3 linked regions of the Coturnix japonica genome follow. The protein of the gene in region 3 interacts with the protein of the main gene of each other region in a pairwise test. Links are inferred from orthologs where the notes say so. Each region holds a gene or a part of one and is shown on either strand. Other genes may lie near its edges.

Evidence for each region.
Region 1: the proteins of ERBB2 (region 3) and EZR interact in a protein complementation assay, tested with the Homo sapiens proteins (2 studies listed by BioGRID and IntAct, with this or other methods). The link is inferred for Coturnix japonica from reciprocal best matches to the Homo sapiens genes ERBB2 and EZR.
Region 2: the proteins of ERBB2 (region 3) and GAPDH interact in a protein complementation assay, tested with the Homo sapiens proteins (2 studies listed by BioGRID and IntAct, with this or other methods). The link is inferred for Coturnix japonica from reciprocal best matches to the Homo sapiens genes ERBB2 and GAPDH.

The regions. Positions count from the first base shown.
Region 1 is NC_029518.1:47,135,268-47,144,983, reverse strand, and holds the start of EZR (ezrin), read left to right. Parts: upstream 1-3,568; 5' UTR 3,569-3,689; coding exon 3,690-3,701; intron 3,702-3,707; exon of another isoform or gene 3,708-4,655; intron 4,656-4,837; exon of another isoform or gene 4,838-6,136; intron 6,137-9,716. UniProt on the Homo sapiens protein: Probably involved in connections of major cytoskeletal structures to the plasma membrane. In epithelial cells, required for the formation of microvilli and membrane ruffles on the apical pole. Along with PLEKHG6, required for normal macropinocytosis.
Region 2 is NC_029516.1:69,301,500-69,311,239, reverse strand, and holds GAPDH (glyceraldehyde-3-phosphate dehydrogenase), read right to left. Parts: upstream 5,929-9,740; 5' UTR 5,805-5,928; intron 5,433-5,804; 5' UTR 5,415-5,432; coding exon 5,392-5,414; intron 4,778-5,391; coding exon 4,678-4,777; intron 4,465-4,677; coding exon 4,358-4,464; intron 4,274-4,357; coding exon 4,183-4,273; intron 4,076-4,182; coding exon 3,960-4,075; intron 3,859-3,959; coding exon 3,777-3,858; intron 3,608-3,776; coding exon 3,456-3,607; intron 3,343-3,455; coding exon 3,264-3,342; intron 3,053-3,263; coding exon 2,969-3,052; intron 2,825-2,968; coding exon 2,727-2,824; intron 2,379-2,726; coding exon 2,309-2,378; 3' UTR 2,072-2,308; downstream 1-2,071. Other genes in the region: C-type natriuretic peptide 2-like, read right to left, coding at 7,444-7,704, 7,981-7,998. UniProt on the Homo sapiens protein: Has both glyceraldehyde-3-phosphate dehydrogenase and nitrosylase activities, thereby playing a role in glycolysis and nuclear functions, respectively.
Region 3 is NC_029542.1:3,921,994-3,930,943, reverse strand, and holds the start of ERBB2 (receptor tyrosine-protein kinase erbB-2), read right to left. Parts: upstream 8,877-8,950; 5' UTR 8,722-8,876; coding exon 8,637-8,721; intron 6,380-8,636; coding exon 6,228-6,379; intron 6,134-6,227; coding exon 5,965-6,133; intron 5,583-5,964; coding exon 5,445-5,582; intron 5,345-5,444; coding exon 5,276-5,344; intron 4,998-5,275; coding exon 4,885-4,997; intron 4,644-4,884; coding exon 4,502-4,643; intron 4,422-4,501; coding exon 4,305-4,421; intron 4,083-4,304; coding exon 3,956-4,082; intron 3,879-3,955; coding exon 3,805-3,878; intron 3,715-3,804; coding exon 3,624-3,714; intron 3,424-3,623; coding exon 3,224-3,423; intron 3,139-3,223; coding exon 3,006-3,138; intron 2,914-3,005; coding exon 2,823-2,913; intron 2,733-2,822; coding exon 2,572-2,732; intron 2,493-2,571; coding exon 2,445-2,492; intron 2,360-2,444; coding exon 2,221-2,359; intron 2,152-2,220; coding exon 2,029-2,151; intron 1,955-2,028; coding exon 1,856-1,954; intron 1,786-1,855; and 15 more. UniProt on the Homo sapiens protein: Protein tyrosine kinase that is part of several cell surface receptor complexes, but that apparently needs a coreceptor for ligand binding. Essential component of a neuregulin-receptor complex, although neuregulins do not interact with it alone.

The sequences.
Region 1 (9,716 bases), on a different chromosome or scaffold from region 3:
CAGGAACAAGCTTTGAGCTCTTTCACCATGTGTATCCCCTTCGAAAGAAACAAAAGAAACCTGGAGAATGTCAACAGTGCTGTGAAAGAAAACGCTCGTCCTCTGTGACCTGAATTTGTCGGGTTTTCATTAGGCTCAGTGTGGGCAGAGTAAGGAAGGAGCTCTCAGTTCAAGCAGAACTGGAACTCGACAGATCCTTGGCTGCTCTTCCTGGAGCGTGACAGTGCAGGAATTACAATGCCAATGTTTCAGGAATTCTAACTGGGAATGAACTGCCTATTCACAGTCATGCACAACGAAACAGAAGCTACTGTCAGTAATACCATATGACTACTTTCCTCCTACAGCTCTTAGAATTGACAAAGAAAACTATCCTCTTGATTTTAAACCTATATGAAGTGGCTCAGAATGTGGTATCCTTTCTTTTATCTGCTATGTTGACTGCCTGGACTTTAAGTTGTCAAAAGTAAGTCACTCTATGTTTCTAGTTAGAAAAAAATCCCAGGAGTAAAACTGCAAACAAATCACCAGAGATGCTGCAAGACTATTCCAACCATGCTTGGAAAATTGGGATCACACTTCCTATATTCAGAAACAAGAAACCATTGATTTTGTGTGTGCAAGCAAGAATGGTGTTTTTAGGACATAAGAGTCCACGCTTCCTAATTTCAGGATAATCACACTTAGGAAGATGTATTTTAACTAAAACATGGCTAGTGCCAAATCTGTTAAGCAAAACCACTTTATACTGATCCTGTCCAATTCTTTGAATTCATCAGTGCTTTATATCAAGTTGAAACAAGCAGAACAGCAAGATTAAATTGATTTCTCCTTAAAACAGATGGAAGGTCTTAAAATACAGTTTGGTTAGAGGGCAGTAAGGCACGGGAGCTGTTACAGGGAGCAAAACAGAAACTGGGTCCTGCTACTGACCTGCTGAGCAATTTAGGTCCTTTCATCACCTCCCCAGCTTTAGTAATTCCTGTAAGTTGTTAGTAATGCCATACTCTTAATAGAGCAGGTTAAGAACAAGTGTTGGATCAGTGCAGCTGTTAATCCTGTAACTTAAAGACTTCATTTTGATTTGGGTCTTATGCTCGATTGTGAGGTCTAGCACAAAATGCTGTAGTTAAAGTGCCCATAAAAGCTTTCTCTTGCTTAGCCAATACCTAAATCCAGAACCAACTGTGTTTCCTTTTATTATCTTATTTTTCAAATGTAAATTTTCCAAGCTTCTACATTTCAATCTGTTTTTTCATCTTTCTACTTCTACCCTAAACTGGCCTGATGAGAGCTGATTTCATGCCTGCTCTCATGTTCCTTTGCTCCTGACTCAAATGGCAATTCAGCCTGTAAGCATTATCAGATAGTGTAGTGTATTACACGTGATGCCCATGCTCCAAAAACTCAGCATGCTGTCAGGACACTATCAAGAAAGCCACAGAACTGAGAGCTTTCATCCCTTCTTTGGAGACTAAGCTAGTCTCCAAAGCTAGTCTGAGTTTAACTGTATCTGCAAAGGATGAATAGACTTTTGTATAAAAGGGAAGGAAGGGGTAGGATTATATACATTCCCATCCATTTGGGGAGGAAAGTAGGGAGTGAAATGTAAAGGAAGAAACTCGGGGACCCACAAGAGGGTTCCCTCACTTCAACAAAGACAACTTGCCGCCCTTCTGAACTAAGAGTTTAGTAACTCTCAGTGCTCTGTAGCCAAGGTGGTTTGAAAACACACCTTGCAAAAGGCAAAAGCCCAGGAAGGAGGTTAAGGGTCTCTGGCGAACGCTCTAACATGGCAATTGTTCTTTTCCTTCCACAGATGACAGTTCTGCCTGTCTGGGTTCAACATGTTCTCGTTGGTTGGGTTTGGGTGGAGCGGTGTTGAGTAAGCTGGTAGTTATGGATACCATTGAGGTATCTATCTTTCCCCATATATTGCAGGTGATTGTGGGAGAATGGCACAGGGTTATGTGCTGTGGCAAACAGGAACCTAGAGATTGTATGTTGCCACATTTAATTATTAGTCACCTAGATTCCTTTTGCCTCTGCTTCTTTGTAGTTAGGAAGCAATAGTAACTGCAATAAAAATTCTTCAGTTCTTCAATCAAGCCAAAATACGGTATTAATGGTAAGGAATGAAAATACCTACATGCCTTTTGCACCTATATGCCCCTCAAAAATAATCCAAGACCACCACATAGGGTTCTGAGCGAAGAGTGGCAACAACTAAGTTCTTATATTCCTTACCATTGCTTCTTGGGCTCAGCAGTCATATTCTGGCCTGCTTCACATCTAATACCATCCTACTGAATAAGGTGTGAGTCCCACCATAAACTTATTGCTTAAAAGAAGTCTCCTCACATACCATATGTTGTTAAATTAATCTGATTAAAGCTCATCCCAGTGGGATTGTTCTACCTGAAACCAGAGGCTGTAGCTGTTTCCCAGAAGTGTTTTATCTCATCTCCCTCAGAAGCCATTTAGCTTTGATTGTTTTTTCCTCACCTGCTGTTGCAAGCTGCTTCACATATGGCTCAGTTTTGACAGTAAGGCCCTCTCCTGCTTCCTAGGATCATGCAACAAGAAGGGAATATAGCTGTGAGTTCTACCAGTCTCTGCACCCCTCCCTTCTCTCAAATTTAAAGCAAAGGCAATTACCTCAATTGAATGTGGCACTACCAGTGACTGCCTAGTACTATCTGATACGGGACCTGGAGGAAAACTCAGGGCCGTGTTTTTGTTACTGTCCCTTGGCATTCCCCAGGGTCTCCACAACCCTTATCTTTGACACGTGCTGGCTGTTACCTTGTTTTGAAGCTTCCTTTCTTGAAATGAGGATGTTGAAGACAGCAGCTCGGATCTGCACGTTTCCTTACCCTCGCAGCTCACCCACATGCCATTGCCGGCACACCGGAAGACCTGTGTCCTATGGTCCGTTGCCTGTGACAACGTAAATACGATCTGTTCTCACACCCCAGCGGGCGGGAGGCCACAGCTCCTGCAGGCAAAGCACCTGGGGGCTGTGCAGGAGCAGGGCAGTGGATGAAGGGTGGGTATAGGCACAGACAGCGTGTCATCCATCTCTGCGTGTCTGCGAATCGGTTGGTTGGTTGCACAATCCTGATCTCAGAGCACGGCCAGCTGGAGCAGCCTGCTCACTGTATAGTTTTTAAACTTAGGTGGATTTTCAGACTTTTATTTCATGCTGAAAACGTGCTTTAATACAAAAAACCATTCTGCCTTTTGCTTGAAGAGGAGGCAGGGGCAGGTGCCGGTGCCGGTCGCCATGTTGCGGTGAGGGTCTCCCGCTTCTGGCCGGGCACGGGGCGTGGGCCGCACCTGTTGCATCGCTCCAAGGGCGCTCCCACCCGGGCCGGGGTCCTCGGTCCTCGCCCTGGGGTCTGGAAGCGCGGCCGGCTGGGCGTCGGGCCGCTGGGCGAGGCCGCCCCGTGCTCGCAGAGCGAGGGGGGGAGCGGTGGGGAATGGCCGGTGGCGGGTGAGTCACCCGCGGCCCCACCTGCTACTTAACTGCCGCCGGGCGGCCGGCGCCGCACTCGCGGGTTGTGCCGTCGCCGTGGCAGGGAGCGGCTCTCATTCCTCCTCCCCTTCACAGGGCGCTCGGCTGAGGCGGGGCAGCTGCTGCATGAGCGTTGCTCACTGGAGCCGGGGAAGCACTGACAGCGCTGAAAATGCCGAAACCGGTAAGTGAGGCGCGGGGGCTGCCCGCGTGTCCGGTGGGGTCGTGCCTCCCGTTGGATGAAGCCGCGCCGGGGCTCCGCCAAGGGCGCCCAGGGAAGCTCCGTGAGGCGCGGACGGAGCCGCGAGGTCCCGCGGAAGCTCCGGAGCCGCCCGAAAGGCAGCTTCGAACGGGAGGAGCGGGCGGAACGGCTCGGCGGCTCGATTCAAACGCGGAACCGCCCTAGGGAGCCATGCTGAAACTTGGGCCGCTCGCCCAGCGGCGGTTGGAGGGGAGGGCCGCGCCCCGGGGCTGCTCAATGCCGTGCCCGGCAGGGAGCCGGCCAAGGCCGGGAGGCTGCGGGCCTCGGAGCGCCCCGACCGGGATCAGGGGTGCTCGTCGGGCGCCGAAAGGAAGGGCTTAGTGTGCTGCCAGGTCCGTGAGGTGGCGAAACAGCACCGGCTCTCACTTGGTATTTGTGAATGCTGAATGACAGGTCCTCGTTTCTTGCCTTCGTGATTAAAAACTTAAGGTTCAGGGGATCATTGTACCGCTCCCCACGGTGCTACCGCTGGGTCTGTTGCCAGGTAGCCTCTAACAGTCTTCGTTAAAGCGTTTCTGTTCTTTGCTTTCCTTTTTTTTCAGTTGAACCAACTTGAATACCTTCAAACTTTCTTGTTGTGGGAGCCCCCTCCTGCGTCGGTTTGCTCATGGTTTTGTTTTTTTTTCAGACTGTTTTGCTTTGAATTCTGCTGCCACCCTGGCAGTTAGAAACGGTAATTCCCTTGAGGAGCTGGCTGGTGCAGAGCTGCCTGTGCTCATGGAAGCAGACAGCTTTGGAACTCTGAAGAGCATAACCAGAGCAGATTGTGGCTGTCTGTTTCCAACAGAGGCAGCACTTAAAGCACAGCACAGTAAAGAACTTCCAAGATTATTAGCTACACCCTTTGGAAGGAGACTAGACGAGCTTATCCTTGGGGTAATGAGCAATGGATGTTCTGCTACTGTAACGCTGAATTTAACTTAGTTAAGAAGAGCTTAGATTAATTTACACTGCAGATTCTGTAAACTTAGGGGGAACAAATGAGGAAAAAAACTCTTCCTTTGAATTCTTTGAAGAGTGCTAAATCTTCATTCTCCCTGGATGTATTTAATCAACAGGAGGCGATATTGGAAGCCATGAGTAGGTGTGGGAAAAATCTCTTTATCTCTCTGCGGAAGGACAGCCATGCTTTAATGGTTTCTGAGACGTGACCTACTGTCCGGGATATATGGAGAAGACTCTGTTCAGTTTGTGTGGAATAAGCTCTTCTTTTTGCAACCTGCATTCGGTCCCCACCTTTCAATGGGGCTGACTGCCACCTTAGTGAATGCAGATGAGGAGAATTCTGTGGAGGATGTCTGAACAGAATGCTTTGGTCTGACTGCTGCAGATCGAGACGGTGTGTTTGGATCCTTCAAATCCAGCTCATTTGTTCTTAGTGCAGCTAAATAGGATTCCTATCACTTTGCAGGGTGAGGTAGGGACGGGTGTGAAGTTGTCGCTCCAGAGCAGAACTGTGCTCAGAAGGAGAATGATAAGAGCCTTTGATGTGTGTGGGGACTGATACCGTGAACTCGTAGGAAATGAAGAGGCAGTTTTTGTTTGATAGGTCAAATACAAAGGTACAAAATAGATTCTACCTACACTTGTTCATGTGTGTCTTGTCAGCTTGGCATAAGTAAATACAATGTTGTTTGGCAGACCTCGTGCTGATAGGGATGTGGTTTTACAAGCCGGTCATCGGTTGTCATCTTAAACATTTTATGTCTAAGCAGATAATTACCACCACGGTTTCAGCATTTGCTTTCTACCTGTCCCCAAAGCAATGAAGGTAAACTTCCATACAGAGCTTTTGTTGTTAGAAAAAATACGTGCACAGAGAGCTTACAGACTGGAATTCAGTCTTTCACACTAAATAAGTCCAGTGAGAGTAAAACATGAGTGATTTTGTATTTTAGTAATGTACCATAGTGAAGTACTAGAAAGCCAAGTGCACGCCAGGTTCTGTACCGGTGCTTTATCGCTGTTTGTTGGATCAGACACACGTCTAGAGTGCTCAAAATAAATCTTGGCAACGTTTCAGGAAATAATTCTGAGATCTTTGATAATAAAGACAACTGTTAATTCCTAATTTATAATTAAACACAGACTTTCTGCCACGTATAACAGTTATAGAGTAACGAGATCACTGGGGTGTGCTGTAAATATGTAACTTCTGGTTCTCAGCTCTTAAGGGTTTTAGGTGGAAATTCACCAGCAGTTCAGAAGCTGAACTTCCATCTAGTCTGAATGATAGTTCATAAGGTTTCACAAATGGTAAATTATTGCATAAAGAAACAGAAGAGATGTTATCTTGTCCAAATCTTGCTTTGTTTTCTGAGAACAAGCAAAGTGTGCAATAAACTGACTTGATCAGCGTTGCATCTTTTCTTTACTGAAGTGTCTGTGTGTGCACTGTGTTTTCCCTTGATCTGTATGTTACTAGCTTATTTCTGTTTGACTCATTGCATGGATGGTGTTCCAGCTGAATTACATCCTTTGGCAAAGCAAGCCAGTCACATAGAGCCACAGGGCTGCGGGCTACTGAGCATTACTTACAGAAGGAGAAGGAAATGTGATCTCTGCTCCAGAGACCTGTTAATTTGATCTGACCTATCAGCATTCTGTGGTCCTTTTTTGAAAGTAGATTATTCTTTCTCCTCTTAGGAAATCTTGAGAGGGGAAAGGAAGCATCACAAGAAATGATGTCAGCTTTGCAGTAGAGCATTTCAAGTAATGCCACACGAGAACCTTTAATACATCTGTGTTTTTGTAACAGTCTTAAAGATAGGTCAGCAATACATGCAGTCTATCAACTTCTGGTGCTAAAAGAGAATACAGGGAGAATATCCAGGCACCATTTTCTAATGTGTTTAATAATAGCTTATGTTCAGAGAGCTGAGCATACCAACAATACCTGCCAGTGTTGGGGGGCATAGTGTTGATGCAGAGAGCCATCATATGTAGGAGTAGAAAGCACATATGTTATAAAACAAACTAAAAACACCAAAACCTATCCTAATAATAATTAGTTAATTAATAATAATTAAACTTGGAGGTGTGGTGGAAAGAGGTCCCTCAATGTGTAGAACAGATTGATATGAATTAGTTGTTGATAGGATGGACTGTCTTGTCCATTGATCTGCAATGTGTGGGGTTTCCCTGATGGAAAGCACTAATAGAAGGTGTTAGGAAAATTCTTGAAGATAGGTTGTCGTTTCTGTTTTTGTCCAGAAAACACAAATTCTAAGCAGAACCTGGAGAAGGATTTGGGGTTGATTGTAGGAGGAAGGCCTCCTCGCAAAAGGGGAGATAGTTTAGTTTAAAATATGAAGGATTTAACTATCAAAGAAAGGGAGGATTTGCTTTAGGCAAGGCTTATAGTTAAGGGGACTTGTGAATATCAGAGCAGTTCAGTTTCTGGTTGCTTTCTCCCCTTGGAGTGTTCTAAGACCTAATGCCCTTAATTAAGATAAAGTCTGATGAGGACACATTGTAGTGCTGCTGCCTGTAGGAGTGTGCAGCTGGAACTGATGACTCAAAAGGCTTTTCCCAGTCCTGTGTTATTAATGTTCTAGTGTGTGCCTGGCACCAAGTGGTTAGACAAGTCCTCCATACCTGTTTGTTATTGAATATACATGCATTCTAAAAATGGACATGAGGACGGCATGTAAGTCTTCAAGGCAAACCTTTATCGGTCTGTGAACGCTTAATGGCATTACAATTCAATGTTTGTCATAAGCCAACCGGAAGAGCTAGAAGTGTAGCAACAGGGATTTACTCTAAAAACTAATAATCATTGATATTTTCTAGATCTTCCCAATTTTGTCTTAACTGTGTCTTCTAACTGCACGTGATAGTTTGGTCTTCAATTTCTTCACAGCAGATTTCTATAACAGGGCTGAAATAAAAAGAAAAACCTTTAGAGATAGTAAGTAATTAACATACTCTTAGCTTATGGGTAGCTATGGATTTATGCAGTAATAAGATAGGTTTTTTTTCTTGTGAGCACAAATTGCAATATGTCAGATGATACGGTATTTAGTGTGGTTGATACCAAGGGTGCACACAGTGGTGCAAAATGGAAGAAACTTAATATCAACCAATTGTGCAGTCTCACCCCAGGCTTCAAAAGGAAGTTGAAGGATTCTACTATTAGTAAGTGTAGGGAATAGTTAACAAATAGTTAAAGGTGGAAGAGAATGAGCTCACAATTGTGCCAAAATCCAAATTACTGTATGAGCTGAATAAGCATTCCTGAGGTCAGTCTGTTCTTGCTAGCTGCCTTAGAGAAATCAAGTGTTAACTGTTCACGTTAGACACTACTTAAAGAATTTCTCGGCCTTCTTGAAGGACAGAGGGTGGAGATAAGCCTTCCTGTTCTCCTTCCGTCCATGTGAACGTCCTCCTCTGTTCTCAGTAAATAAATAAATAAAAAATCAGTGACATGTCAGGACTTTTTGAGAATAATTCTTCTTGATGCCTACTGAAGGTTCCTGCTTCAGCGTCGTTGTTGTTTGGCACGCTGTGTCCGAAGGGCTTTATGTGCACTGTAAATCCCATAATCACTCAATTGACCTTGAAGGAAGGCAGTGCTGCCTAAGATCGTTGAACCACACTACGCACTGTTAAGTAATATATCTTGGCTGTGCCGCGGGGTTGTTTTTGAAACCTGGTTTCAGCATTAGGTAATACTTAGTCTCTGAGCTGAGAAATGCTTCTCCATGGAAGCAACTGAAGTTTCAGGCTTTTACTGAGCAGTGCACAGAATTTTTTCCTTCTAGGAAGAGGAAACAGTCCTTTCCATGTGAGTCTATAAAGAAGGCTTAGGTTGGCGTTACAATTAAGTACATTGCCTCTACTCTGCGTATTTGTTCAGATCCAGGTTTTGTTTCTAGCCACTGCTTCATAGTGTCTTGATGAGTTACCTGTCTTCAGCTTTGAGAGAGCATGGGTAACGTGTGCTGAGCTGGGACTAATGAGCATCTGACACCATCAGCTGCCAATTAAAATAAAAATCCCAAGTCAGAATTAAACCCAGGACTCTGAACTTCTGAGAGAGGGGGAGAAACTGTTTCTTAGCAGCAGTGACTGTTGTGTTTGGCTGTCTGTTGTGTAGGTACCATGGAAGAGGTGCTGGGACTCCTTGTACAGCTTCTGTAACCTTTGCTAGTTCTGAGTTTTCAGTGTGGAATTGCCACATCATCTTATGTGGCAATTGTTTCTCTTCAGCTTCCATGAGCAAGTGCTCTAGTTATTGTGTAAAGCTGAGAGACATCACTACCACGGTCTCTTTCTTGATTTTTCCACATGGAAACATCCAGATTTGCTGTTGCAGTCCAGCCTTGATGTGGGATGTGTGTGAGAGGCTTCTCTGGGGATGCCAGTGTGTGCACACCCAGCTGATAATGTTGAACTAAATGGTGATTCTCAGTTCTGCCAAGAGACCAGCATTCGGCAGGTGCATAGAGCAGATCTGCAGCCTGCCTGCTAAGTAAAGAAATGGGATCTGAAGAATCTCCTTCTTGTACTAGGGTGCCTGAATTTTGCCTGACCAGCCCAGTAGGGGACTTCAAAGACTGTTGTAGGATCTTGGTTGCGGAGTTCTTTGTCAGAGCTAAAGTTATTCTTTAACATATAGAATACGCTTTAATTGTGAAAGCTTAGCTGGATTAACTTTTTTATCTTTGTAAATAGGTAATTATACCATGTTCCTGATGGTTGAAATGTGCAAACTGGCAGGTGGGTTCCATAACTGATCTGTAACTCAGAGTGGGAGAAAACAGCTTCCTCTCTTAAAAACTGCTGCAGCCTTGCAGGCAAAGTTTCCAGAGTTACGTTTTTTGCCCCCTTTCTGAATTGCTGTACTTGTTGCTTCAGTAGTGAAGGACCTGTGTAGTTTCATCTCAGAAGTCCTCACACTGTTTTAGTGGTCAGAAAGGAATATTTTGCTAATCT
Region 2 (9,740 bases), on a different chromosome or scaffold from region 3:
CTTTGTTTCTGTGGTGTATATGCAGTAAGACTACCAAAATGTGGGCAGGTTGGTCCTGCCGAGATGTCTGCTTTTGTGAGTGTCCGTGCGTGCAGTGCTGTTTGCATACTGTGACTTGGGGTCGTGAAGCTGTGCTTTGTGAAAGGCATCTGTTACGATGAACTCGGAACACTGTCACTGGAGGTGTTTGTCTTGTACAAATGTCCAATACATGCCTCGCAGTCTTTTCTCTCTCTGAGCCCTGTATCTTCCTTGCACAGACCTTTAGGAGTGATATGCTCAGCGACAGGTTTACTTTACAAGTAGTCAGTATGTGTGGATGTCCAACACTTTTATACCATGTTTGTGTGGTGGCTGTTTTGTTCCATTTTGCTGTGATGTTCCAGTAGCATTAGTTAGTCTGCACGTCTGTTCAAGATGGTTTTCACTACATAACGTCCTGCTTAAGGCTGAACTTTCACGCTGACATCTTGAGAAGGTCTGAAAACAACCCCGGCCATTTCTTAGGGGGCGATGCATGTATGGCAGCTGCTGGACACGGTGGCACGGCGATGGCACAACTCTCTGTCCGCCTTGCTGTGGTGCCACCTGCAGGCGCAGAGACTGGGTGCAAACTCGTCGGGACTCAGGGGAAGGTTCTGGGGGCTGATGGGGAGAGGAGGGGCACAGTATTTATTGTATTAATTTGCCCCCCACTCCCACAGCAATTTGATAGGGCTTTGTTGATGAGTTCACTGCATATTTTCAGGCAGCTGTAGACAGCTCAGGAAACATAAGGCTTCTTAGATGAAAAAGGTGATTCTTTAAAACGTTCCTGCTTGCAGGCATCTGGTGTTTCTGCTGCCTCTCAGCACTTCCCTATCATCGCGCAAGGATCTCGCTGGCAGGCACACAGCTATGCAGGCAGCGGCACACAGGACAGCCATTGAAAGCACCAAGCGCAGCAATTACAGCCAGGATGGGACCGACACAGGGCGCTTTGTTAGCCTGGCGGGGCTGTGGGCTGCCTGCTGCACTGCAGCATCCCACCTGCTCAGCACGACTGGCCCCGGCCAGCCCCAGAACAGCTGAAAGCTGAGGAACAGCTGCAGTTTCACTCCGAGTTACCTAAAGCTCCTATCAGGACATTTAGAGGACAAGGCAGGTATTGAGGCCATCCCGGAGCTTATGAGCTGTTCGTACTGTAAGTCCAGGGACAGGTTATGCAACCTATTTCCTCTAAGGAAAGCGACTCTGAGTCATCTCCCTCTAGCGCAGTGAACGTCTGGCTTTCACACAGCTCTACCGTCACAGATAAGCAGCTCCGTGCTTCTCACTTGTGCCTGGCCATGGGAGAGCCTGCAGCCTCAGTCCTTGCCCCAGGTCAGACTGTAAAAGCAGCCATCTCCAGTCAGCAGCTGCAACCTGCCTCCTGCAGAGCAGTGCAGCATCTCTGATGCAGCTCTCAGCCTCAGTGCTGATGAGAAAATAAAAGGAAGGGCCCCATGGCTTTGGTGGGAGTGAACTGCTTATCTACCCTACCACTCAGCAGCCAGGGTAGCTCCGTGCTTTTAGGGGGAGGTAATGCAGCTCCTGGCAGAGGGCTGATACTTGCAGAGATTTGCTGCTCAGGAGCTGCCACTGTGCTTAATTCTAGCTTCCAACACAGGGCCTGGGGCAGCCATTTCTTCCAGGCAGATTTATTTTCAGTTCACTTTGTTGCATCTCTAGTAAGGAAGAAGGAATTGAAAAACTCCTGGCTTTCATGCCCTTTTAACAAGTGAAAACGCAAGTCATCCTCAGCACTTTATTCTGCACACACCCATCAAACAGGAAAATCCAGAGAGCTGGAAGGTGGATGAAGAACATCTGCTCACCATTCCACCACACAGCACATCTTCCACTCAAAGCCCTCCACACCTTTTCGCTTAAGGGCAAGAGTCCTTCCCTTGCTGGCAGGCACAGCATAGCTCCATGCACAGCAGCCCTGCACTGGCTGGAGCTGCTGGCCCAGCAGTTACAGGCTGGCTGGGCTACCTTAAAGCATACATTCAATTCTTTTTTGCTTCCCAATGACACGCAAACAAAGCGCTTCAGATGGTGAACACTTTTATTGATGTAAGGTGGTACACATACAGATCAGTTTCTATCAGCCTCTCCCACCTCCCCCAGGCTGAGGAAGAATTTGGAGGAGGAGTGGGGGAGACAGAAGGGAACAGAACTGGCCTCTCACAGCAGGATGCAGAACTGAGTGGTGGTGAAGAGCGGGGGCTCCAACAAAGGGTCCTGCTTCCCTAGGCAGCAGGGGGGCTGTGTGCCTGTGCCTGGCTCACTCCTTGGATGCCATGTGGACCATCAAGTCCACAACACGGTTGCTGTATCCAAACTCGTTGTCATACCTGAGAAGGGAAACACAAGTGCAGTCAGCACTGATCCAGCTCCTCGTATCCCTCTTCATGTTACTGCTCTTCCAGCCTCAGCCCATATAACCAAGTGGCAAGGCTTCCCATCCAATCCTTATGAAGCAAACAGGCAGCATCCCATCTGCCCTCCATTACAGGAAGGCAGCTGCAGCCATTTCAGATACGAAGCCATCTCACTAGAGACCGTCACATGCTGAAGCCACCTGAACCCTGTGCTGCCATGCACTGCCAGATGGTGCTGACAAAATGAAACAGCACAGAACTGCACCAGAACTGCTCGTCTCTACCCTCCCAGTCTCCCCCACACCCCGAGGCTGAGCATACCAGGAAACAAGCTTGACGAAGTTGTCATTCAGTGCAATGCCAGCACCCGCATCAAAGGTGGAAGAATGGCTGTCACCATTGAAGTCACAGGAGACAACCTGGAACAGAGGAAGAACCGTCAAGCACTCTTCCACCCAATAAGATGGTAACAGCCTGAACCAGAAGCGTCAAAAACATCACCCCAGCAAGGCTGCCACCATCAGAACAATGAGGCAAGTGACACCTACGTAGCAACTATTTACCTGGTCCTCTGTGTATCCTAGGATGCCCTTCAAGGGCCCCTCAGCAGCAGCCTTCACTACCCTCTTGATGTCATCATATTTGGCCTAAAAAAAGGCAGAAGTAAAGATGGTCAGGTCAAATCTCATCTCTAAGTGTCAGCTACAGCCCAGACACTGGGAACTGCATAGCACTAGCCATGCACATTAGGTGCTATTTTCAGCAAAACCAAGATTTTTCTATTAAATAGATTGATGTTGAAGGAAGTAATTTTAGAGGCAGGCCTGAAGATTCTTCAGTCTTGTCCACAGCACTTACTGGTTTCTCCAGACGGCAGGTCAGGTCAACAACAGAGACATTGGGGGTTGGCACACGGAAAGCCATTCCAGTAAGCTTCCTGCAAGAGATATGTCAGCAAAGAACAGTGTAAGCATGTTCTACCACAAAAGTGTTTGAGCCAGCCACACACTGGCTCCTGCCCCCCATCAGACACAGAAAGAGGACGCTCACCCATTGAGCTCAGGGATGACCTTCCCCACAGCCTTAGCAGCCCCAGTGGATGCTGGGATGATGTTCTGGGCAGCACCTCTGCCATCCCTCCACAACTTCCCAGAGGGGCCGTCCACAGTCTTCTGTGTGGCTGTGATGGCGTGCACAGTGGTCTGTGGAAAGAAGGCCCAGAAGTAAGAAAGCAGTCACTTTCCCCAGAGAAAGCACCCCCAGCACTTCCTCCCAAGCCCAATGGAAGCACTGTGTGTGAATGCTTTTTTCCCCCACACATGGAGGACCTGGGGGCAGGGTATCTTACTGAGCATCAAGCTCCAGACCTACCATAAGACCCTCCACAATGCCAAAGTTGTCATGGATGACCTTGGCCAATGGTGCCAGACAGTTGGTGGTGCATGAAGCATTGCTGGGGGAGAAAGAAGGCACATCAGCCAAGTACAACACATGTATATACGTGCAACAAGACCCGAAGAAAATTCCAGGCCAGGGAGCATTCTTCTCCCTTACCTAACAATTTTCAGGGACTTATCATATTTCTCATGGTTGACACCCATCACGAACATGGGAGCATCAGCTGAGGGGGCTGAGATAATAACACGCTTAGCACCACCCTTCAGATGAGCCTGAAAAACAAAAAAGGAAAGATTAAATTACCCAGAACGGCCCAACAGTTGAGAAGGAATACAATCCTCAGAGCACCTTTTCCCATGGGCCACAGCAGCCTACATACCCCAGCCTTCTCCATGGTGGTGAAGACACCAGTGGACTCCACAACATACTCAGCACCAGCATCTCCCCACTTGATGTTGCTGGGGTCACGCCTGAGAGGGGACAAAACCATGGGAGTTACTCTGGAGGGCACTTACTTTCATTCTCTGGAGCAGCGAGAGAAGAAAGCTACTCACTCCTGGAAGATAGTGATGGCGTTCCCATTGATCACAAGTTTCCCGTTCTCAGCCTTGACAGTGCCCTTGAAGTGTCCGTGTGTAGAATCATATTTGAACATGTAAACCTAGCAGGGAGAGAAAAGAGAAGGGTCAGGCATCCTAGATGCAAAGCTCCCACTACAATACCAGCCATCTTGTCTAACTGCTGCTCTGTATTTTGCTCTGCCCAGCTTTGCATCACTACATCTCATTTCTCTCTTAACCTATGCCAGGTTTCCAAGGGGAGCCCCGCTGAAGGTGCACGCATCGCCCAGAGGGGGCACTGCAAGACAACTCACCATGTAGTTCAGATCGATGAAGGGATCATTGATAGCAACCACTTGGACTTTGCCAGAAAGGACAGCAGCCCTGGTGACCAGGCGGCCAATACGGCCAAATCTGGGGAGAAACAGAGAGGTGGGTGAGGAGGAGCACTGAGGAACATGCTTGGTAAGGCACGGCTGAGCCTATCTGCTACTTCCCCCCAGAGCATCTGTCAGTCGCTGCCTGAATGGAATCCAACAGCAGCGGCCAAAGGCCGAGGAGCCGTGGTTAAAGATTAAGAGCGACCCCCGGGCAGGGCACCCACACCACAAAGGTCAGGCGCTAAATTTACTGAGGGCCCCGGGGATCCGGTTACTCCTCGGTGCGGTGGGAGAAGGTCACGTTCCCGGGGCACGGCCGACACACGATCCACCGGGCGACCTTTCCTCGGGTACCCACTGCCCCGGGGAGCCCCATTAGTGCGGGCAGAGCCCCCGACGGGGCACGCGGGCAGCACCGGCGCTTCCGGGGTGACTCACCCCGACCGTGCGGGGAAGTGACTCAGCACCGCCCCACGGGGCCGTTACTCCCGGTTGGGGGTTGGAGGATGGGGGGGTCTCTCCGCGGCGCCGCGGGGCCCCCCGCCCTTCAGGCGACCTTGTCTCGTGTCGTCCTCCCCCCCCCCACGGGCACGTACATCCCCGCCCGCCCCGCCCGGCGCCTCCCGTCCCGGCTCCGCACTCACTCACCCGTTGACTCCGACTTTCACCATCTCTCCCTTATAGTGTACCTGCGGGGACACGCCAACGCTCAGACGTGCGGTACCGCACGCAGCCCGCCCGCCCCATAACACCCCCCCACCGCACGCACCGGGAGCCGCCCCCCCACCCGCCATCCCTCCCTCCCTCCATCCCCACCGAGCTGTGCCCCCCGCACCTCTCCCCCCACCCCCACCGCCTCCATCTTACGCCGCCCGCCCCCGCCTTTGTGCCCCGGGCACCACGCGGTCCTGCACAGCCCCCTCCCCCCGCCGCACTCCTCGCGGTCCGACGGCCCCGACCCTACGAGGGGCTCAAGCAGACGGGAGGGCGGCCGGCTGGGTGGGTGGGTGGGTAGGGGTGGGGGGAGCCGTTCCTCCGCCCCCGTGCCCCCCGCCCGTTACCTGCTCCTAGTCAACGGCCCCGGCGCGCAGTGAGAAGGTGGCGCAGTGCCGCTCCGCCGCCCTTTATAGACACGGCGGCAGCACCCCGCGCCCCGCCCCGCCGGGCCGGCACCGAATGGCAGCGCGAGGGCCGGGCCGGGGCTACGTGCACGCACGGTGCGGGTGAAGCGGCAGCCCCCCCCCCGCTTCTCTCCCCCTCCCCCCTCGCAACAAAGGGCGGCCGTTGGGTCGAGGGTGGGCTCGGGGGGTTGGGGCCGCACTGCGGGGCTTGTACGGAGTGGGGGTGCCCTTCGGATGGGGGGTGCAGACAAAGCCCCGCGTCGGTGTCCTCGGGTGAGGCTGCGGGGTGCGGCTGCAGCACGATGCGGTGCGGCGGGTGCGGGCTGCATTAATGGCAGCACGCACGGCCGAGAGAGCGCCGTGCTGCGAGCCCGCAGCCTGCCCGCTGCCATAATCAGCCCTCGCACGTGTTGGTCACGCAGCCCCGGGCTGCCGGGGTCCCGCACCCGCTGTCACACCGGCGCTCTCAGGCCGCGCTAATAAGGAACTGCAGCATCTCTTGCGCCGTGACAGCGGATATCCTCATATCCTCCCGCCGCCTCGAGCCGCCGCCGTCCCTCTCCCAGCCCGGCACGTCTGCGCCTGGCAGCCGGGCCCGGGGTGTGGGCAAGAAGCGGTTCTTACGTGTTACGGCTGGGGCTCGTGCGGCCCAAAGAGGGGCCGTGGGATGGAGCCGTGCTGGGTTTATAGCCTCCATCCCCTGCGATGGAGCGGGTGCTCGAAGCCGGATGCCCGGCGGGAGGAGGGGGCGTGCAGGGGTGAGGTGGGCCCCGGCTCCAGCGGTGGGGACGGAGGATGCCGGGGGGAGAGGGTCCGAGCGGGGGGTCACGCAGCTCCCGTAACCCAACGCTCCTTGTACGGCTGCCATTCCCGGAGCACCGAGGGGCAGCGGCTAAGTTTAGCCCCGGCTTGAGGTTACGACCTTTTCTTAAAGGCCAGGGGAGGCGGCGGTGCGGCCCGAAGGGGGCTGCGATCGCGGGGCCGGGGGAGCCCCCCGCACGTCGCGGGGTCAGGGCCGGCAGGGAGAGCGGAGGCCCCTTGTTTGCTCGGCAAACACGGCAGCGGCCGAGGGGCAGAGTGTGGCGGGACGGAACAACGCTGCGGCCCCGGGGCGCAGATCGATGGACCCGCCGCCCATCCTCCCCCCAGCGCCGGGCTCGGGCCCAGGCCGCGGACGCGCGTGCGGCCCGGCCCACCCGGAATGGCGGCGGCGCCCAAAATGGCCCCGCGCGTGGGGGCCGCGTTGCCGTGCGGAGCCGCGGGCTCTGCCGCCATCTCCCGGCGGACGCGGGCGGGGAGAGGCACGGGGAGGGTATCGCGGCCCGGCCGCCCTTCGGTGCCGCCAGCTCCGACACGAGGCTCCGCACAGCTCGGTTTAATTCGCGAGTCCCCCGCGCGCCGCCGCTCCTCGCCCTGCCCGCGGGGCTGCGGCCGCTGCTGCCCCAGCCTGTCCCGTCCCGAGCTGGGTCTCGTCCCGGGCCGGCTCTCCACACGGCCGCTCTCTGCCTGCCAACGAGCGAGCCGCTGCCCGCTGTGCCGGCCCCTCGCTGCTGCCCCCTTCACCTCCAGCTTCTCCGGGCTAACAGCCCAACCCGCTGAAGGCCCCGATGCGGTCCATTTTCAGCCCAAAACAGCCCCGGGGCGCGGCCTTCCAGGCCCAGTCTCCAGACAGAGCTCGCTTGCGATCGGCGAGGGCCTTGCGCCACAGCAGGGGCTGTGCGGCTCGGGCCCGAGGCAGGAGGAGCGGCTGCGGCTCGGAGCTGGAGCTGGAGCCCTCCTTCATGTCCTCATCAGCCGGCAGGGATTCGGAATCCGAGGGCAGCAGGCGGGAAAGGAGCACCTGAGAGAGGGATAAATGGAGATGGGCGAGGGTGTAATGTCTGTGCTCTTATATCCCGACCCACTGTCCCACTCTTCGTCCCTCAGGCTCGGGCAGGACGTGAAATGGTGCCTGTGAAAGCCCTCTGCCTGTGACCTTGCATCCACACCAAGGACACCGATGGCCCGCAGCTACTCTGCCTGAGGTGATTTTGCTGCCCAAAGAACAGGAAGGAGTGCTGTGGGCATTGCTGTCTCTATTCCTTGCCCTTCTGCTATTGAATAGTTCTCTCCATACCTGGAAAATAACAGTCATCGGCCCTTAGTCCTTTTGGTGCAGCTGAGTGCTGCTGTGTGCTCACGGTGTTTTGTCGTGTTTCTTTTTTTCACAGAGGAACTGTTAGCATAAAGCAGTCAACTATCAGAATGGGCCTAAGGAAGGCGGGCCCTTCATCTGCTGGGAAGTCTCCATAGTTTGTGTGCAGGCAGGCATGCTCTAATTTAATTACATGCCTCCATAGCCGCCAGCATCCTCCAGCGGCAGGGAGATGGGTCAGGAGGTGCCCTGGGGGCACAATGCTGCTGCCCATGGCGGCGGCCTGTGGTGGCTACTCCATGCCTGTGCATCACATGGATGCCTTTGTGCAATTTAGCTCCATCTTCTCCAGCAGTCAGTTAATGGAAGCAGACATGGGCATCTTCAGTGAAGAGTGAAAGTGTCTCCATGATGAGTCATAGCGGAATCAGTCCTGCGTTTCTAGTTCACATCCTAGCTCCTGCCTTGCAGCTTTCTTCTTGGACAGAGGAGCTGATATGAAGGCAGGGTGCCTCTGCACGCATTGAAGAGACCCACAGCCAGGAGCACTCAGAAGTCTGTTGCCTGGCCCCTACCTTGAAATGCTAGCACTCCTCAAGGAGCTGGCTTGTATAGACACAGCCTAGAGCTGAGGCTGTTGGACTGAAGGGGAGGGAGCAGCCCTTGGGAGCTGGGATGTTGGGTCACCTCACACCATGTTCAAACACGACCTCCCCAAACTGCCCCTGCCACTCCCAAAGCCTCCCGCAGCTCCATCCCATTCCCTCCTACCTGGAGCCTTTGTCCCGATGAGGACATCGCTTGTACGCTGGCAGAGAGCAGAACTAAGAGGAGGAAAAGCGAGCAGGGCCACGCTGGGAGCCCCAGCATCTTCTCTTTATTTGGGGGTTTATGGCAGGTGAGGCAAGATCTGTAGCCTCTGAGAGCCCTTCCCCTCTTTGCTTTTATAGTGTTGGTTGTGGTGGGCGCCTGCCCCCCAGCTCTGCTGCACAGCCCCCTGGAGCTCCTTAACCTTTCAGCCCTTTTGTCCATGGTGATATATTTCAGGGTGAGCTCAGTGAGACCCCTTCCTCTAAAGAATAGACACAAAAGTGTTTGCCGAGTGTCTGGGAAGACAAATGTAGGCCAAGCTGCTGCTGGCTGGGGCCTGGAGGTATCTATCTGGATCAGGGAGAGACTTCAAGACGCATCCAGAAACAGGGTGTCAGAGGCTGCAGTATGCAGTGCCACTGACATTCTCGTAGGCAGGGTGCTGTTAATGTTATCGCTTTAAGCACTGTGAGCATGAGCTGCAGCTCAGCTGGCGATTGTGTCACTGCTGGCCGCAGTGAGCTGTGGTGTTGTGGCAGTATAGGCTCTGTTTTTAGCACCTATGTTTTGATAAGCTGGTTGGCCAGGCGACACGGAGCTCCTGCTGCATTGGATGCACGGATTTCTATCTTAACTCTGGGATCTGTGGCAGTGGTAGGAGCATGGATCTAAGCACACATGGACACACAGCTTGCACACTGCTTGTCCTGACCCAATAGGAACCAGCACAGAGAAGCACTCTTCGAGGATGAACTTGTACTTTCTCAAGCTCAGGTGCACAATGGGAGTAGGACGGCGAGGAGCAGACTCCTGCCTCCTAAATCTTCAGGCTATTAGCTCCCCCCCTTTATTTACCCCTTCCATTTTACAGTAGTTTCTCACCAGCTGAACAATGCGATGAGGTCACTGTTTGAAACCAGAGTGCAGAAGTC
Region 3 (8,950 bases):
GGGCCCCAGGAAGGGATGCTTGGTGTCCTTGATGAGCCCGTTCTTGCCTTGGTGGCCCTTGGGCTTGTCTGGTGGGGATGGTGGTGCACAGGGGAGCCGGGGGGGTGACGGCAGCTCCCCAGCCTGATTCACGTACTCTGCAGGGAAAAGGGATGTCAGCAGCCAAACAGGGTCCTTGCCCCCCTCCCCAGGGTCCTATATTGCCCTACCTGGCATAGTGGTATGTGGGGCTGGGGTGGTGAAGCCCTCAGGGTCCAGACCTTCACTCTCATCCCCCGGCAGCGCGGTGGGGTCCTCACTGTACCGTGTGGCTGGGGGGCTCGGCAGGGCTCCCTTGGCCCCAACATCCACCTCCAGAGCCTCCGACACGGGGCACTCTGACCCCTCCACCAGGTTCTGCGGTGGGAAGGGGAAGGCGGCTGATTCCTCCCCCTCTGTCGTGTCAGCTGGGGTCTCTGCTGTGCTCTGAGGAGGCAAAGGGCACGGAGTCGGGCACGGTGCTGTGGGGTCTATAGGGTCTGTGGGTGGCATTAGAGAACTTGCACCCTGTGCGCCCTGCAGCAGCACGATGCCCCAGGTCAGCCCTTACCCGCGTGGAGGAGATACGGCTGCGGTACGCGGTGGAGGTCTCAGCACTGAAGAAGCCCTGGTGAGGGACCAGGTATTCCTCAGCATCCACCAGGTCGTCCATGTCCTCCTCCTCCAGCAGCGCCCGGTAGAAGGTGCTGTCCATGTTGCTGGGCAGCCCGATCATGTCGTTCTGGGGGTCAGGGGGGGCTGTCAGTGCCCGTTGGGGCAATGCTGAAGGCGAGACCCCCCTGAGACCCCATTACCTGGATGACCACAAAGCGCTGGGGGTCGCGGGCCATGCGGGAGAACTCGGTGACCAGCTCACGGAACTTGGGCCGGCACTCGGAGTCGATCATCCAGCCTGGGGCAGAGCCGAGCACCGTGAGGGCGGCGTTGGGGTCCTGGCCCCCACGTCCCCATGTCCCCCCCACTCACATTTCACCATGATCATATAGACATCGATGGTACAGATGGGCGGCTGCGGCAGCCGCTCGCCTTTCTCCAGCAGGTCGGGGATCTCTCGTGCCGGGATCCCATCGTAAGGTTTCGCCCCGAAGGTCATCAGCTCCCACACGGTGACACCTGAGGACATGGGGATGTGGGGTAAGTGCTGGTTTGGGACCCCCTGCCCCCCACAGCCACCATAGGGACGCACCGTAGCTCCAGACATCGCTCTGGTGGGTGAAGCGCCGGCGCAGGATGGACTCCAACGCCATCCACTTGATGGGGACCTGGGTGGGTGGGAGGAGTGAGCGGGACCCTCAGGGGACACCGCGCTCCCTGTTGCCCCGTCCCCATGTCCCACCTTGCCCCCATCTGCGTGGTACTCGGTCTCATCGATATCCAGCAGCCGTGCCAGCCCGAAGTCGGTGATTTTGACATGGTTGGGGCTCTTGACCAGGACGTTGCGAGCAGCCAGGTCACGGTGCACCAGCCTCACCTCCTCCAGGTAGCTCATCCCCTGGGCAGCAGGCGTTAAGCCCCACATCTACATCCCCCCCACAGCCCCTCAGCAGCCCCCTCTCTTACCTTGGCGATCTGCACACACCAGTTGAGCAGGTCCTGGGATCCGATGCGGTCTTTGTTCTCCCTCACATAGTCCAACAAGCAGCCGTAGGGCATCAGCTGCGTCACCAGCTGCACCGTGGAGGTCAGGCAGATGCCCAGCAGCCTCGACACGTAGGGGCTGCCCACCCCGGCCATCACATAGGCTTCCTGCAGGCAGCACAGATAGGTCAGGTTGGCACCGACTCCCCAGCCCCGTGCCCACCTCCCCTGCACTCACATCCAGGATCTCCTTGTTGGCTTTGGGTGATGTGTTCTCCCGCAACACCTTGATGGCCACCGGGATCTTCACGCTCTCCCCATCGGGGATCCAGATGCCCTATGGGGGGTGGGGGGGCGGTGAGTGAGGACACAGATGGTGCCATCCCACTGACTGTGCCTCCCACCCCTCACCTTATAGACAGTGCCGAAAGCGCCGGAGCCCAAAACCTTCACTTTCTTCAGCTCCGTCTCCTTGAGGATGCGCATCTGTGCTTGGTTGGGGAGGGCCCCGCTGGGCGTCAGCGGCTCCACCAGCTGCGAGGGACAAGTGGGTGAGGAGGGACAACACTCTGAGCCCCCCCCAGGGTCATCCAGCCCCCCCACCTCAGTCTCCTGCAGCAGCCGCCTCATGGTGTGTTTCCTCTCCTGCTGCCGCCGGCGCTTGACGCAGACGACGGTGATGAGCAGAAGGACGACGACCAGCAGAGCCCCCACCACACCAGCAATGATGGATGTCACCTGGCTGCAGGACGGGAGGTGACAGGGGATGTGGGGATGGGGTCACCCCCTGATGCTCCCCTATGGGAGGGGGGTACCCACGGTGGTACCTTGGCTTCTGGTCCACGGGGCAGCCGTCCTCATCCCTGATGGTGCACCTGATAGAACACGGGGTGGGTGAGCATCCCACTGCCCCCCCACAACACACACACACACACCTGGGCACTGTGTACTCACGAGTGGGTGCAGTTGGTGGGGCAGAGCTGGCAGACCCCCTCCTCGTCTGGGTACTTCCAGATGGGCACAAAGGAGGCATCCACCTTCACCCCGCTGGGGCAGCGCCGCACACACTGCTGCCCATCCTTATAGTGCGCGCATGCCACGCACTGATCCGCATCCTGCAGGGTGGGGGGCAAGGAAGGGTGGGGGGTGAGGGACCTGGCAGCAGTGCCATCCTCATGCTGGTGTCCCCATGTCCCTGTGCTCACCGATCCAAAGCAGGTCTCGGTGCCATTCTGTGGCTGGCACTCAGGGTGGCAGGGCAGGCAGCGTGTGCCGTTGGCGTGCTCCCGGATGGCGCTATGGGATGGTGAGAATGGGATGGGGTTGGGGCTGATACAGAGCAGTGTCCCTCTCCTCCCTGCTGGGCTCAGCCCGACCCCATTGCTCACCCATCCAGCAGGTTGCAGGAGGCCACGCACTCCTGGCCCCGCAGGAAGCGCTCACAGGAGACACATTGTGTGGGGCCGGGCCCCCAGCAGTGCCCGTGGGCACAGAGGTGGAAGCACACCAGGCCCTCGCTCTCTGGGGAGATCAGGCACAGTGTTACCCCCAGCCCGGCTCCAGGGACCACGAGCAGGACTGGGGGTGGTGTTAGGGGGATCCTCACCACACAGCTCGGGGGCTTTATTGTGGGTCTGGAAGAGGTGCTGGCGGGGGTGGCGGAAGATGCTGTTCCATGGCACCTTCTGGAGGAAGCAGAGCTGGGGGTTGTGATGGATGAGCACCATCCCACTGCTGATCTCCTGCAGGGCACGCAGCCCCAGCGCCCGCACCGCCAGGTCCTGCAGCGTCAGTGAGTAGGCACCACTGCCAGGACACAGAAAGGTGAGCACCCACATCACCCCCGGGTCCCCCATCACATCCCCTTTAGGTCCCATCCCCTTTAGGTCCCCCATCACATCCCCTTTAGATCCCCCATCACATCCCCTTTAGGTCCCATCCCCTTTAGGTCCCCATCCCCTTTAGATCCCCCATCACATCCCCTTTAGGTCCCCATCCCCTCTCACTTGTGCAGCACACGGCCACGGATGACACGCAGGTTCTGGAAGACGCCCAGGTCGTCCATGTCGGGTGGCCAGGCAGCAATGTACAGATAACCTGGGGGAGGGAAGGTGGGGGACACAAGTGTGAGCACTGCTCGCTTTGTGCCCTCAGCTCAGGGCTGTGTCCCCATCCCTGTGCACTCACCCGTCAGCTCCTCCAGGCTCTCAAAGACTGACAGCATCTGGGGGTCCAGGGGGGCTGTGTTGGTGCTTGGGTCACTGTAGGAGGTAGGACAGGGGGTGTTTGTGGGGGGGGTCCCAATGGTTCCATCTGGGATGGGGTGTGCAGTGCTTACCCAGCGAAGGTCTCGGGCAGGAAGGCCAGGCTGCCAAAGATCTTGGTGCAGCCAGCAAAGTGCCGGATGTTGGAGGCATTGACAGCACGGACTCCCTTGAGGAAATCCACCCCCAGCCCGTAGCACACTGCGGGGGCACAGAGGGGATGGCAGAGTCACCAGGATCCCCCCCAAAGCGCTGCCTGCCCGGCCCCATTCTGCAGCCCCCCCCAGGGCACAGCAGCTCCTTTGCTCCATTGGATCCCCAGTGGTTCTCCAGCACCGCCCCAGTGCTGCAGAGCTTCCCAGTGAATAGCAGCCCCCCTAGGACCCCCCCAGCCGCAGAACCAGGACCCCTCCTGGGCCTCACCCTCTGGGCAGGGCTTGCTGCACTTCTCACACTTCTGCACGTTGTTGACTGTCACCTCCTGACTGTTCTGGGGGCAGACGAGGGTGCAGGAGCCCACCTCTGTGGCCAGGTAGTTATCTAAGGGGGAAGGAAGGGGACAGGATGGTCAGAGCTGGGGAAGGAGCTGCTCAGACCCCTGCCCACCCCCCAGCACTCACAGGGGCACTGGCTGACACAGCTGGCACCGAAGGTGTAACGTCCATCGCGGTTGGGCACCGACTCGAAGGTGTCAGAGTTGTAGATGACGAGGGGGGGGCAGTGCAGCTCACAAATCCCGCTCCGGTTGAAGTTCAGACATGCCTGGGAATAGGGGGGGGGGGGAACCAGCCATCAGCCCCCCTGTGTTTGGGGGAGACCCCATCCCATCCCATCCCATCCCATCCCATCCCATCCCATCCCGCTGTGCCCATTTTACCCTATGGGTTACCATCTCATCCTACCCCACTGTGTCCCATCCTTTCCTGCTGGGCCCCATCCCATCCCATCCCATCCCATCCCATCCCATCCCATCCCATCCCATCCCATCCCATCCCATGCCCACCAGGCAGTCGGAGTGTTTGGGGCCGGTGCAGCCCGCAGCACATTGCTCATGGCAGCAGTCTGTCGGCTTCGTGCCCTTACAGCGTGGGCACCCGTGGCAGATGCTGTTGGTCACTGTGAGGAGAAAAGGGGGGGCACAATGGGATGGGGACCCCTCCCCTAAAAGGAGTGGTAAGGGGCTGTGGGGTAGGCAGCATCCCAAAGGTATATGGGGAAGGGATTGTGGGAAGCTCTGGAGAAGGGGTTTGTGGATAAGGAGCGTGGTGATGGGGGGGCACAAGTGGGGGTCCCCAAGGTGGGGATCTGGGTGCTACGTGGGGTGAATGGAACAGCAATGTGGAACTTCTATAGGGTTTCCTATGGGGCGGGGGTCCAGGCAGCCCCATACTCACAGGTCTGGCAGTCCTGCTGGCTCTCGCCCCAGCAGTGCCCTTCAGCACACAGCGCCCGGCAGTCAGGACCTGCAGGGGGATGGATGGCATCAATAGGGAGCTGGGGGGGGGGGGTGGCAGCCCCCAACCCACCCACATTTATCCCCTCCCCAGCCTTTGGGCTGCTCACAGGTTCGGCTGCGGCTGCTCTCCACATGGATCTCAGTGCGCAGCTCGTTGTGCCGGTGGAAGATGTCGGCCCATAGGATGGTCTCCTGGAAGCAGAGCTGGGGGTTCCCCTCAATGTGTACCCCCCCCTTCAGGATCTCTGTATGGGGGGGGGATGAAAGAGCTGCCATCAGTATGGGGGCACAGCTCCGTAGGGTCACCCGGCCCCACACAGCAGCTTGGAGTCCCCACACAGAGACTAAAAGGGCTGCAGAGAATCTGGGGAGGGGATTAATGGGGGTGTAGGGATAGGACAGGGTTATAAGCTAAAAGAGATTCATTGCTATGAGGGCACAGAGCTGTGGGTACCCCCTCCCCAGCAGTGCTCAGGTCCAGGGTGGGGGGCACCGGGCTGTGTGGGGGGGGGTCCCTGTGACATGGGGTGGGGATGGATGGGGTTTGGGGCCATTCCAACCCAAACCACGCAGTGATTCGATACCTGCAGCCCCCACAAGGACCCTCTCCCCATATCTGCCCCCTACCTGTGAGCTGCCTCATGCCGAGCTGCCGCAGCCCCACATTGCCCAGCACGGTCAATGCGTAGCGCTCCTGGAACAGCTGCGTCCCACGGATGATCCGCAGCCCCTGCAGCCCCACGGCGCTCACTTGGTTCTCAGCGATCAGCACGTAGCCCTGCACCTCCTTGATGTCCTGCAGGGGGGGGTGGGCACGGCGGTGAGACCCCCACGGTGCCCCCATGTCCCCCCCCATCCCTTCCCATCCACGTATCCCCGAATCCTCGCACCTGGAGGAAGGTGGTGTCGGCGCCGGGGGGCAGGTAGGTGAGCTCCAGGTTACCCTGCACCACTTGGCAGCCCTGGTACAGGTGCCGCAGGGTCTCGTAGTGGCTCTCGGGGCTGGAGGGCTGCAGCAGCTTCATGTCGGTACCGGTGCACACTGCGGGGATGGATCGGGATGTATTGGGGGGGGGTTGGGGGGTGGGAGGGGTCAGCCGAGGCCGGCCGGGCCATCGCCCCCGCGGGATCCGGCCGCAGGAAACGCTGCGGCTGCTGACGGTTATCGGCTCCCAAAAACTTCCGATGGGTTTCCGATGGGCTTCCTGAGCGGCCCCGGGTGTGATGTGGGGACGGGGGAAGCGGGACACACGGGGATACAGCGGGATACAAGGGGATACACGAGGATACATGGGGATACATGGGGATACATAGAGATACATGGAGATACATAGAGATACATGGAGATACATGGAGATACATGGAGATACATGGAGATACATGGAGATACATAGAGATACACGGGGATACAGGGGGATACACGGCGATACAAGGGGATACACGGGGATACACGGGGATACACGGGGATGCGGACCCCCAGCTCCCACCGCGGCACCGCTGCCCCCACGTCGGCAGCAGCCACGACCCCCATTGAGCGCCCACGTCCAGCACTGGGTGGGTCCCCACAGCCCGCACCGGGGGGCCCCGAATGGGGCGGGGGCCGCGGAGCAGGAATGCGGTGTATCCCGCAGTGCCCCCACGCCGCCGGGGGGTGGGGGGAGAACCGAGACAACACGCGATTGTTGAGCGGCCCCGAATGGCCGCGTCCCATGGCCGCCCCGCTCCGACCCCCCCTCATTCCTGTCCCCGTTCGTGGCGGTGGGGCCGGGAGGGGCGGGTCGTGCTGCGGTGAGTCACGGCGCTGGGGCGGCCCGGTCCGGCCGCAACGTCCCGCCTGGAACCGCCTTTTCAGGTCGGGCGTGTTTGGGGAGCGAGCGGGGTGACGCAGAACGGCCCAGCCCCGGCACCGCCCGCGGCCCCCGGCGCCCCACAACCACGCGGGACAGACCCCCCCCCACGGCCCCGATGTGGGCTGGGGTCCCACCGCGTCCCTCGAGACCCCCACGGTGCCCCCCGTGCTTCTCCTTGAGCGGGGTCACCGTGTTGTCCCCGTTGTCCCCTCTCTTGTTTGGTCGCCCCCAACACCGACCCCTCGGCTCCACCATCGCCACAACTTATGGGGACACAGCGGCGGGGGTTGGGGGCGCTCTGCCCTCGGTGCGGGGGGGGCTGTGCGGGGTCTGAGTGACGGCCCCCGGTGCCGGCAGCTGCCACGAGGCCGTGGGACGAACCGGGCTGTAGCCGCCCCCAACGACCCCAGCGGCCCCCGAACGTCCACAAGGGAAAACTGTGCCCCCGGAGCTGCCCGTGTTGGACGGGGAGGTGGGGACAGCCCGGTGCCCCCACCCCGCAGGGAACGGCCAAAGCTCAAGGTCTGCTCCACCTGCTGCGTGCGGGCACGGGATGGACACGGTGCTGCCAGGGCCCAGGGAAGGCGGGGGGGACGGATCCCGGTTCGGTCTCAGTTCCATCGCACCCCCGGGGTTGGGGCTGGGGTCAGCGGTGGGGACGGGCCAGCACTCGGAGCTCGGGTTCCAGGGCGATGGGAGCAGCAGGGACCCACCGAGACCCCATTTATTGCCCTGGGAGCCCCACAAACACCGGGGGGTGGCGGTGGGGCCGATGCCCGCCCCGTCCCCGTCCTCGCTCCGACCGAGGCCCCGCGGCGCTGGATCGTGCCCCGGCTGCTCCCGTCGGGCCGGGCAGGGCGCGGCACCTCGAGAATGTGGATGGGAGCGACCGGCGGGGACGCACCCCCCGCCCACCCGCACCGAGCGGCACCGCCGCCGCCCCGGGGCCCATCCGCGCCCCGAAACCGGCTCCATAAACCGGGGAATGGGGGGCAGGGGGGGCTGTCCCGGCGGTGGGGGCTCTCGTGGCACCTCTCGTGATTGCGGGACCCCGGTAAAGCGGGTCCAGCCCACGCAGCCGGTGGGGACGGAGCTTTTTTTAGGGTCTCCAAACCCTCGAGTGGAGGCACCGGGGGGCACCGGGGGGGGGGCACCGAGCGGAGCGGCCGCCCCCGGCCCCGCGTCTCCCGGCTCAGCCCAATCCCGCGTGGGAACGGCGAGAGGGAGGGGCTGCCCACGGCGGGGGGGGGGGGGGGGCAACCGGGCCGGGGGGTCTGTGGGGGAGGGGGGTCGCTTTGAACCGCAGATCCCCAGCACCCCCCGTTACCCCCGTTATCCCCGTTACCCCCAAACCTTCCACTCCCCGCCCCGGATCCCGGTTCTCCCCGCACAACTCCGTTCCGATCCCGCCGTTCACCCCCACCCCGCTGCCCGTCGGGGCGGACCCACCTTCGGTGGCGGCTGCGGGGCAGAACGAGGCGAGGAGCAGCGATAAGAGCACGGGGCACAACGGGCGGCCCCGGGGGTCGGTCATGGCGCTTCAGGACGGGCTGCGGCCCATGGCCCCGCACCGGACGCTCCGGGAAAGTTTGCGGTGCGGTTCCGCCGCGCTCCCGGGCTCCACCTCGCGGGGACGCGCCGCGCGCTCCCGCCCACAAAGCGCGTTCACGAGGGATGGAAGCGGCGGGTCCGTCCCGGTACAACCGGGTGTAACGGGGGAATCCCGGTTGATCCCGGTAACACCGGGTGTAACGGGGGGATCC